3 linked regions of the Canis lupus familiaris genome follow. The protein of the gene in region 2 interacts with the protein of the main gene of each other region in a biochemical or structural test. Links are inferred from orthologs where the notes say so. Each region holds a gene or a part of one and is shown on either strand. Other genes may lie near its edges.

Region 1 (3,652 bases), on a different chromosome or scaffold from region 2:
ATCCAGTGGGCTCAGGGGCCCCAAGGGCCAACGCCAGGGCTGCCCTCCACAGGCATTGTCAGGGGTGCTGAGTCACCATGGTCTCTGCCTCCAGAGGGCTCCCTGCCTGAGCCTCAGTGCCCTTCTTCACCAGATGGCTATGTTGAAGGCAACAGGGCAGGGGTGGGGGTGAGAGGGGTGTCTCTCCCCGGCCCTGGGGGATGCCCATCCAGCCTCCCATGACAAGAATGCACCCCTTACCCCAGCATTGGAGGATGGAAACCACTTAGGGTGGGGATGGGCTCAACCCTGAAAACCAGGAAAGGTCAGGGCCTCCCAGATGCCACATCTGAGCCTCGTTGCCGCGTCCCCTCCCGCTTCCATCAGGCCCTGTTGTGAGCTAGAGGGTGACTTGGGGTCTCATGAATCCTGGCAGGCACTGGCTACCTTTAAGACTCAGGGCTCTGTGGGTGGTTGGGTCTTACATCCTGGTAAACTGCTTCCAGAGCCTGGCATGCCCATCCCGCTGGGCTCTGTGCCCTAGGCTGACCTGGTTCCACTGCCAGTGGGGTCTCCATCAGTGGGCCTGCCCCAGATGGGCCTCCCCTGGGAGGTACCCTGGTATCTTGAAGGCTCCCGGGTCAGGGAGCCCTCTTGTCGGGAGTGGGTTCCTGGGGAGGCAGTCAGGGAGGGACCATGTGGCTTAGCCTTGAGAATTCCAGGAGGTGATTCTGGGACCATCGAGGCAGAGGGGATGCTGAGGCTGGAGAGGCAAGGGACAGGTGGGCCTCTGCTCCCCTCAGGGGGCTAGCTGCCATGTGCCCCTCTGCCAGCAGGGGCTCCGTACTGGACACGGCCTGAGCGGATGGACAAGAAGCTGCTGGCTGTGCCGGCCGCCAACACTGTGCGCTTCCGCTGCCCGGCCGCTGGCAACCCCACGCCGTCCATCTCGTGGCTGAAGAACGGCAAGGAGTTCCGAGGCGAGCATCGCATTGGTGGCATCAAGGTGGGCCTGGCGGTGGGTGGCGCTGGCCGGTGGGGGCCTCGGCCTGCTGTCCCCTCACCCGCGCGCCCGCCTGCAGCTGCGACATCAGCAGTGGAGCCTGGTCATGGAGAGCGTGGTGCCCTCGGACCGTGGGAACTACACATGCGTTGTGGAGAACAAGTTTGGCAGCATCCGGCAGACGTACACTCTGGACGTGCTGGGTGAGGCCCCAGAATGCGGGCAAGGGCTGGCGGCTGGGCAGAGCCAGGGGCAGCGCTGACCCCATCTGCCCCCCCAGAGCGCTCCCCGCACCGGCCCATCCTGCAGGCCGGGCTGCCGGCCAACCAGACGGCCGTGCTGGGCAGTGATGTGGAGTTCCACTGCAAGGTGTACAGCGACGCCCAGCCCCACATCCAGTGGCTCAAGCATGTGGAGGTGAACGGCAGCAAAGTGGGGCCCGACGGTACGCCCTACGTCACTGTGCTCAAGGTGGGTGGCACCCCTGGCTGGGCGCCGGCAGATGGGACCCAGGCCTCGCACCATCAGGGGAGAAGTGGTACAGGGAGGCCCGGCTCGGCTCAGCACTGGTGGTGTGGGGGAGGGGAGGTTGGAGCATGTGGCCCTGCTGTGAGTCCTCAGTTTCCCTGTCTGCTCTAAGGGTTGGCCTTAGCCCTGGAGGCAGGCCTACAGATGGTGCCCTAGGCCGGGCTCAAGCTCCAGGCCTGGGGCAGGCAGGTGGCACATTCTGGGCCTGAGGTGCTGTCAGCCACTCCTTGTGCCACCCTCACCCGGCACCGTCCGGGTGTGCAGAGCACGGCTTGCTGCCTGCCTGCCTCCCTCGGCCCTTGCTTGGGCCAGCAGGGCCTCAGCTTCGTTCCCACGGCCTGAGGGGCGGGGGCCACCCGAGCTGGGAAGGTTGCAACACTCTCAGCCCAAAGAGAAACATCTGTTGCTGGTGGGGGTGGGGAGCAGGCACTTGGGCTGAGGGCAGGAGTCCAGACCCGACTGGAGAGGCCATGGTGGCCTGGTCGGGTGAGATCTCGACATGCATGGGAACATGCTTACCGTGAGCCAGGCAGCAACATAGCAGGCCCATCCAGGACCCCAGAGGCAGGCAGGCTGCATGCCAGCCCAGGAGGGCCTCTTGGAGGGCTGCCTGCCAGGGCTGCACTCTGGGCTGTAGTGGGTGCACGTGGAGAAGGTGCCTCCTGTGGAACCATGGCCTGCCACTGGAAGGTGCTTCTGTTGTCTCCTCCAGGCAGCCTTCCTGCCTGGCATAGCCTAGCCACACCCCCTTCTCCATTCTCTGAGGGCCACCCTCGTGGCAGGGTCTGTACCAGGGCCTGCTCCTGCATGGCCACTCTGTGCCCGGCCGGGCTGCCAAGGGCGCGCCTAAGCCGGGTCTCTTGTCCCCGCAGTCCTGGATCAGTGAGAGTGTGGAGGCCGACGCACGCCTCCGCCTGGCCAATGTGTCCGAGCGTGACGGGGGCGAGTACCTCTGTCGAGCCTCCAATTTCATAGGCGTGGCTGAGAAGGCCTTTTGGCTGCGTGTTCACGGGCCCCAAGCAGGTAACAACTCTGTCCCATGCTGTCTGGCACGCCGAGCTCCAGCTCCGATGCCCTGGCCATGCGCCCACCTGCACGCCCCCATCCTGCTCGCTCCCCGCCCTGTGGCTCGCACTGCACTCCCGATGGAGCCACCTCTGCCATGCTGGTGTCTCTGGTCTCCACTGTGACCGCCTGCTTCCAGCCCCCGTGGCCTGTGCTGACCCTGCCTGCGCTCCCACACACACCCCCAGGACTTCAGCCCCAGTGGGGGCTGTACCTCTCTAGGCTTCTGCTTCTGCCCCTACCCCCGTGTGTGTGCGTGCGTGTTGGTGTGTGTGCACGCCGGTGTGCTGTGTATCTTTCTCTCTCCCTTTCCCGCCCCTGGCTCCGCTGCCTACTCACTTCCCATTGGTCTGTTTGTCCACCCATCAGTTCACCTATTCTCCTGCACCCCCCCAGCGTACACGCTAACCCTGCATGCTGCGTTTGCGCAGCCTGCTGCTGGCCGCACGCCTGGCGCTCACCTGGGACAGAGGATTCGCCGGTGGAGGGACTGGCTTCGGGCTCTGTGTGGACGCACAAGGCAGAGGACCCTTGGCGCCGTGGCCGTGGTCATGGCAGTGGTGGTGGTGGTGGCGGCGGCAGCGTTTTCTTTGCAGCCTGGCGGGATCGTCACCATGTGGACTCTGGCTGTGGTGCCCGTGGGAGGTGCTGGCGCTCGCCTATCGCGCTCTGTTCTCTCTTTATAGACGGCGGGCGCTAACACCACCGACAAGGAGCTAGAGGTTCTGTCCTTACGCAATGTCACCTTTGAGGACGCGGGGGAGTACACGTGTCTGGCGGGCAATTCTATCGGGTTTTCCCATCACTCTGCGTGGCTGGTGGTGCTGCCAGGTACTGGCTCCTGCTGGTGCTCGCTCTGTTCCTGTCCTCTTGGGGTCGCTGGCTTGGGACACTCCACGGCTGCCAGGGACAGGCAGGGGGCCCTGCAGCTCACGGCCACCTTGCTCCACAGAACTCGTGCGCCAGGCCCTGTGGCTGATATGGGAGCAAAGTTGACATGCAGTGTCTTGGCTCAGAGGGGCCTCCCTGGAGCCGCCCCACTCTCAGTCAGGTCCCCACAGCCTAGGTGGCAGCTCT
Region 2 (2,682 bases):
GTACAGTGTTTGATGTTAGTCCTGTTGTCCTGGAGATCGACTAAAATAAAAGCATAGTTATTGTTTAGCTTTGGTATATTCTGTAAGAGATTCAAACACGTAGGCTAGATACCAACCCTTGTATTTTCCAACCGTGAAGTTACAGTGATGGAATAAGTCACTTATGAGAGAGGAAATATTACAGACACAGAATAAAAGTTTGAGACCCAGTTTCTCTTTAATCCTCTGGGATAAGCTATGAAACAAGCAGTCTGAAGAGTGAATACTCAGTGTCATGAATGATGTGCATAAGTTTACAATAATACGGGCACAAAAGAGATTGTCGCCTTTAGTACATTAGGGTCATTAGGATTTCTCCTATCCATGCACCGTTATATTTACTTGCATGAATTTACCACAGGTTCGTAGCGGACTTTGCCATTTAATGCTTACAGAGCCTAAAGCTTCCAAAATGCCTATCTGGCCTGTACATATTTCATTAAAAATAAACTCTATATAATAAATAAATATATAAAATAAATAAAATGTTGCCTTTGGAATTTCTATAAATAAATTTAACTTTTTTTTTTATTACTAAGAGGTCTTTGCTTTAAATTCACTGGGATGGCACCAGTGAGCCTTAAACTGAAAAAGTCTTGTAAGTAAGACTGCACCCTCCATGCCTTTGCAAATGCAGCGTACCCTCGCGCAGGCCACCAGCCAGAATCCTGATGAGTCGAAGTATGGCAGCTGTGCTGATACAAGGTGAAGGACAATTGATCAAAAATGTAAAAGCGCGTCTAAATCCCAGCATGCATCAGGCCGTTGTCCTCTCTGCTTCTGCTTCTCTTCAACCTCCCCTGCTACCCATCCACACACACACTCACACTCCCGCTCAGCCTCCCTCTCCTCGGCTCACAATAGACCGGAGCGAGTGGGCGGCGGCGGCCCTCCAGGAGGACAAGCCTGTAAGTGCACAACAAAATCAGCATGTTCCCCTCCAAGCCTCCATCGTACAGAATGCATGCGGCAAAGTTTGGCAACAGTGGAGCTGGTGTGATGACACAGCTAATCAATAAGAACCCACCGCGTGAAACCTTTATAGTGGTTACTCTGTTAAGGGCTCAAGTGGAGAAATGGTCTTTGTCAACTTTGGCTTAGAATATCCTTATATAGTTCGGGTACTTTGTCGGGGTCCACTGGTCTAGGTAAAAAATGGGTGAATTTCTGGTGCCGTTTAGTCCTCGTTCCTTCTCTTGGGGTCCCGTCTTTATTTAATGCAACATAGTATCGCCTTCCAGTGTCCACGTGTTTATATAGATTCGAAGAGTACGTGTTATACCAGTTTTCTTCAAACTGTTCTCTGAATACACACTCTTGGGTTAGTTTTTCCTGTTAAAACAAACAAACAAGCAAACAAATAAATATTTTGCAAAAGAGCTGTTTTCTGTATTTGAAGCAACATTCAATGGCTACATAATATCACTCTGATGAGAAAACACTGATTTTAACCCAGTTTAACCATTGGGATGTATTTTCCAAAAAAGTGCCTGGCTATATAAATTTAACTACACTTAATTGTTTTTCATAATGGCTGAAGTGCAAAAGATTCCAAATATTTTCTGGTTAGATTTCTTTTCATACATCAATTATTTGAAAGAGACAAAGAGACAAAGGATGATCAATGCTTCGAGTTGTTCCCATTTTTACTACAGCAATTGGATTGGTGACCATCCTGCAAGGGAGAGCCTTAGCTGAAGCCAAAGGTTCAAATACCTGCCTCATCTTTAATACATGTTTTACAAAGTACTTGCCCAACATTCTCAACAATCACACTGTTGTCAGAATCCCCTGCCCTCTGAAGCAGTAGAGTTTACTTACTACTCTAAGAGTGCTTTTCAAACTTCAGGGTTACAGAACAATCACCTGCATTGCTTCTTTAAAATGCAAATGTTCAATCTCCAATCCTTTAAAATTCGGATCCAGAAAGTCTGGAAATATGCATTTTTAACAGGCCCTGGGGGGAATTCTGATACAGTTAATCCCTGGTTCACATTCAAGATAGAATGCTTTCTATGTGACTGAGTCTTCCTGGATACAAAGAAGTAAAAACAATTGTTGCAACCCTCCTACTCCCTTGAATTTAGACAGAAAGAGCCCCCCAACTTAAAAAAGCCACATTCTCAGGCACACATCTACCAACAGAAAAACTGTACTTTTCCCCACATTCCCAAAGTTAAAAGGTTCCCCATTTTCACAGATGAAGTGCACCTCTCCCTCCACCTGAGCCTTATGAAACTCTGGGTCCCACTTATCCCCACAACCCAGAGCTCCTGCAGCCAGGTGTCTCGTGAGCAGTCATAATGACCAGAAACCTCTGCCTCACATCCCAAAACCCAGTCACAAAAGTTGTCCCCTGGAGAAACGGGCCAACAGGATTGAATGGCCTCTTTGCCCCTCTCACCACCGGACTGCAACTTTTCAAATCAATACCTTCCATGATGGCACTTTTTAAAAATTAACACAAAATGACCTTTTAAAAGTATTTCTCTTGCTCTCACCCATCTGGCACCTTACATGAATAAGAAAACAAACCAAAAACCACACACATCCGTGTGCAGACTTAAAAGAGCAGCACAGATCCTTATCTTTGATATTCTTCCCTTTCTGACATTCAGACGCAGAGGACAGCAAACTAGACAT
Region 3 (3,652 bases), on a different chromosome or scaffold from region 2:
ATTGTTCACAGGTGTGGGGCAGGGAGGCGGGGCACCTCCAGGTCCTGGCCTGGCCCCTGCTCCTGAGCCTTACTGGTTCCCTGCCTGTCTCTCTTGGCTTTCCCTGGGCAGCCGTGGCTCCGTACTGGACATCCCCAGAAAAGATGGAAAAGAAATTGCACGCGGTGCCGGCTGCCAAGACCGTGAAGTTCAAATGCCCTTCCAGTGGGACTCCCAACCCCACGCTGCGCTGGTTGAAAAATGGCAAAGAATTCAAACCTGACCACAGGATTGGAGGCTATAAGGTATGTGTGTGTGTATGTATGTGAAAGTGAGTATAAGAGGAAGGGGAGAAGCTACTTAGAAATTCCTTATTATATGTTGTTAATTGTTTGAAGTAATACTTTCTAACTATAAAAGCAATGCGCTTTAGAGACGCCTGGCTGGCTCAGGGGTTGAGCATCTGCCTTTGGCTCAGGTTGTGATCCTGGGGTCTTGGGATGGAGTCCTATGTTGGGGTCCCTACGAGGAGCCTGCTTCTCCCTCTGCCTGTGTCTCTGCCTTTCTCTTTGTGTCTCTCATGATTAAATAAATAAAATCTTTAAAAAAAATAAAATTAAAAAACGCAGTGTGCTTTAGAAAAATTTCAAATACAAAAAAACTGCAAATAAAATATTCAGGTCTTTTCAGTCTTGGAGCACCTGGGTGGCTGTCAGTTGAGCGTCTAGCTCTTTCTGCTCAGGTCGTGAGATCAGGCCCCTCGTTGGGCTCTGCACTGGGCATGGAGCCTGCTTAACAATTCTCTCTTTCTCCCTCTGCCCTCCCACCTCACATGTTCATACATTCTCTCTTAAGAAAAAGAGTCTTTTTTTCTGTGTATGTGGTTCTTATGTAATCACATTAATGTATATAATTTATCACTTGTTAACATAACATGAGTCTTTTGCCATGTGCTTGAGATAATTTTTCATGACTATATAGTATTTCATTATTAAAATGTTTCGTTTAATGACCTGTTTTGTGATATTTGCCATTTTCTGGTTTTTGACTATTACTAATACTATTGTGGCAAATATCTTTTTTTTTTTTTTAAGATTTATTTATTTATTCATGAGAGACACAGACTGAGGGCGGGGGGTGGGCAGAGACACAGGCATAGGGAGAAGCAGGCTCCTCACAGGGAGCCCGATGTGGGACTCGATCCCGGATCCCAGAATCATGACCTGAGCTGAAGGCAGGCACCCAACCGCTAAGCCACCCACGCGTCCCTGTGGCGAATATCTTTGAACACAAATCTATGCTGGTGATTTTAAATGTTCTTCTCCCAGGACAGGTGGCTTGAAGCGAAGTTACTAGACCAAAGCATAAGCATTTTTTAAAGCACCTTCCCCTTTTTAAAGATTTTTCCTTTATTTCAGAGAGAGAGCAGAACGAGTGAGAACATGCATGGTGGGGGAGGGGAGAGGGAGAGAGAGGAGCACACTGCCCTCTGAGCCCCACGCTCAGCTCCATCCCAGGACCCCAGGATTATGACCTGAGCTGAAGGCAGATGCTTAATCAACAGAGCCACCCAGGCGCCCCTTTTTTTAGGCCCTTAATACATAGTTCCCGTTACCTTTCTCTCTCCTGGTAAGTAGGTAATTTTACTCATTCATTTATTTTTTTATTACATGAACCTTTTTTTTTTAAGATTTTATTTATTAATTCATGAGAGACACAGAGAGAGGCAGAGACACCAGCAAAGGAAGAAGCAGGCTCCACACAGGGAGCCTGGGTCTCCAGGATCAGGCCCTAGGCTGAAGGCAGTGCTAAACCGCTGAGCCACCGGGCTGGCCACATGAACATTTCTTGAACACGTCTTCCCAGAAAGCGTACTGGGCAGTAGAGTTCCAAGTACATCAGGAAGATGTAATATTTTTTGTGATACTTGCTTTGATGGAGGATGATGTAATGAGCTGGGGTGTGATTTTATTTTTTTAATTTTATTGTGGTAACAGTTCCTTTCCCAAAAAGAAAATTAATTCATCTTCCCATGGCTCGAGTATGAGGATGACAAGCTCACCATACCTGAGCCAACAACTCTCATAGATGACAGAAGTAACTCACTCTTCTCTTGTTCATTGTTCTACTTACTAACAGGTTTCAAATTTTCATGTTAATAAGCAACTTCTGTTTCCGGCCATGTGAATTGTCTGCGTCCTTTGCCCATCTGTGTTTCTAGCAAGAACTTCTTCATCCTAATCCTTTCTTTAAACTCTGATCATTCTGCTATCCCATCTCACCTAGCTGCTCTTTTCCCATTAATCTGGTATAAGGAAAGCAGAGATCAGGGCACATGGCTGGCTCAGCTGGTAGAGCGTGCAACTCTGTGGTCACAGGGCTCTGAGTTCAAGCCCCAGGTTGGGTGTAGAGCTTGCTTAAAAGAATAAAATCTTTAGAAAGAAAAGAAAAGCAGAGATCAGGAAAAATAGGGAAACATTATAAATTAACTGATCAAACACTTGCTGTATGCAAGGCACTGCCATGAGTGGTACAAAGCAGTGTTCTTTCCCACAAAGAACTTCCAGTCTAATAGGATGGCAGGCATCGTTGAACCTTGTCATAAAAAGCAGGCCTGGGTGGCTCAGTGGTTGAGTGTCTTGCCTTTGGCTCAGGCTGTGATCCTGGAGTCTCCGGATCGAGTCCCACATCGAGCTCCCTGCACATGGAGACTGCTTCTCCCTCTGCCTATGTCTGTGCCTCTCTCTCTCTCTGTGTCTCTCATCAATAAATAAATAAAATCTTAAAAAAAAAAAAAAAAGGCTGGCCATGATCTGTACATCAACAGGGGCACAGAGGGACAGTGAGAGCCATTCTGACCCAGGGTTGGGCCAGAGGAAATGGTTTTTAAAAGAAGAGGTCAGGGGTAGACAGAGCTGAAGTCTTCCCAGGGAGCTTTTGCAACTCAGGATGTGAACACGCAAATAGGGAGAAGCCCCGGTGTATTTGGGAGAATGGAGGAGTCACATAGGTCAGATCGCAGATGGCCCTCGCTGTGGCAGGCAGACCTCCAGAGTGCTTTATCCCCATCTGCCAGTCTGCCTGATGCGTTCTTGCAGTGAACATGGACCAGGGTGGCAGTCTCTGCCCAGTCCTGGCTCCCGTGCCATGCAGGCCATGTGCTCTGGGCTGGGATTGGAGGGTGAGTGCCACAGGGCACCCATGCTTCTGCATGGCTCTGGCTTCCATTTAACTTCAGACCCTCATTGGAGCTCTCTGGCATGTTTCCCCTCAGGTCCGTTACGCCACCTGGAGCATCATAATGGACTCCGTGGTGCCTTCTGATAAGGGCAACTACACCTGCATTGTGGAGAACGAATATGGCAGCATTAACCACACCTACCAGCTCGATGTCGTGGGTGAGAAGGCAGTGCAACAGGGTTAAAGGAGCTTAGAGCAAAGAGAGCAGGACTTAGAGCAAAGAAAACAGCCACAGGATCCAGGTTTCCTTAGGGGTCGAGTCAGGCTGGCAGGGGCATTTAATGGGACTGTCACCTGAAGCAGGTCTCGTGTCTGTTTTGTGCATTTAGTTAAGAGGATTGGACGCTATTAGGACTCATGAAATGTGAAAGGTGCTGTGCCAGTCTCCTGCAAGGGGTGACTGGAGAGGGCATCACATACAGCATCCTGGTGG

What was found.
Region 1: the proteins of FGF9 (region 2) and FGFR3 form a complex in vitro, tested with the Homo sapiens proteins (3 studies listed by BioGRID and IntAct, with this or other methods). The link is inferred for Canis lupus familiaris from reciprocal best matches to the Homo sapiens genes FGF9 and FGFR3.
Region 3: the proteins of FGF9 (region 2) and FGFR1 interact in a biophysical measurement, tested with the Homo sapiens proteins (2 studies listed by BioGRID and IntAct, with this or other methods). The link is inferred for Canis lupus familiaris from reciprocal best matches to the Homo sapiens genes FGF9 and FGFR1.

What each region holds. Positions count from the first base shown.
Region 1 is NC_049224.1:62,845,549-62,849,200, reverse strand, and holds part of FGFR3 (fibroblast growth factor receptor 3), read left to right. Parts: intron 1-812; coding exon 813-985; intron 986-1,061; coding exon 1,062-1,185; intron 1,186-1,262; coding exon 1,263-1,453; intron 1,454-2,382; coding exon 2,383-2,533; intron 2,534-3,261; coding exon of another isoform or gene 3,262-3,406; intron 3,407-3,652.
Region 2 is NC_049246.1:16,712,050-16,714,731, forward strand, and holds part of FGF9 (fibroblast growth factor 9), read right to left. Parts: intron 1,372-2,682; coding exon 1,126-1,371; 3' UTR 1-1,125.
Region 3 is NC_049237.1:27,802,082-27,805,733, forward strand, and holds part of FGFR1 (fibroblast growth factor receptor 1), read left to right. Parts: intron 1-111; coding exon 112-284; intron 285-3,253; coding exon 3,254-3,377; intron 3,378-3,652. UniProt on the Homo sapiens protein: Tyrosine-protein kinase that acts as a cell-surface receptor for fibroblast growth factors and plays an essential role in the regulation of embryonic development, cell proliferation, differentiation and migration.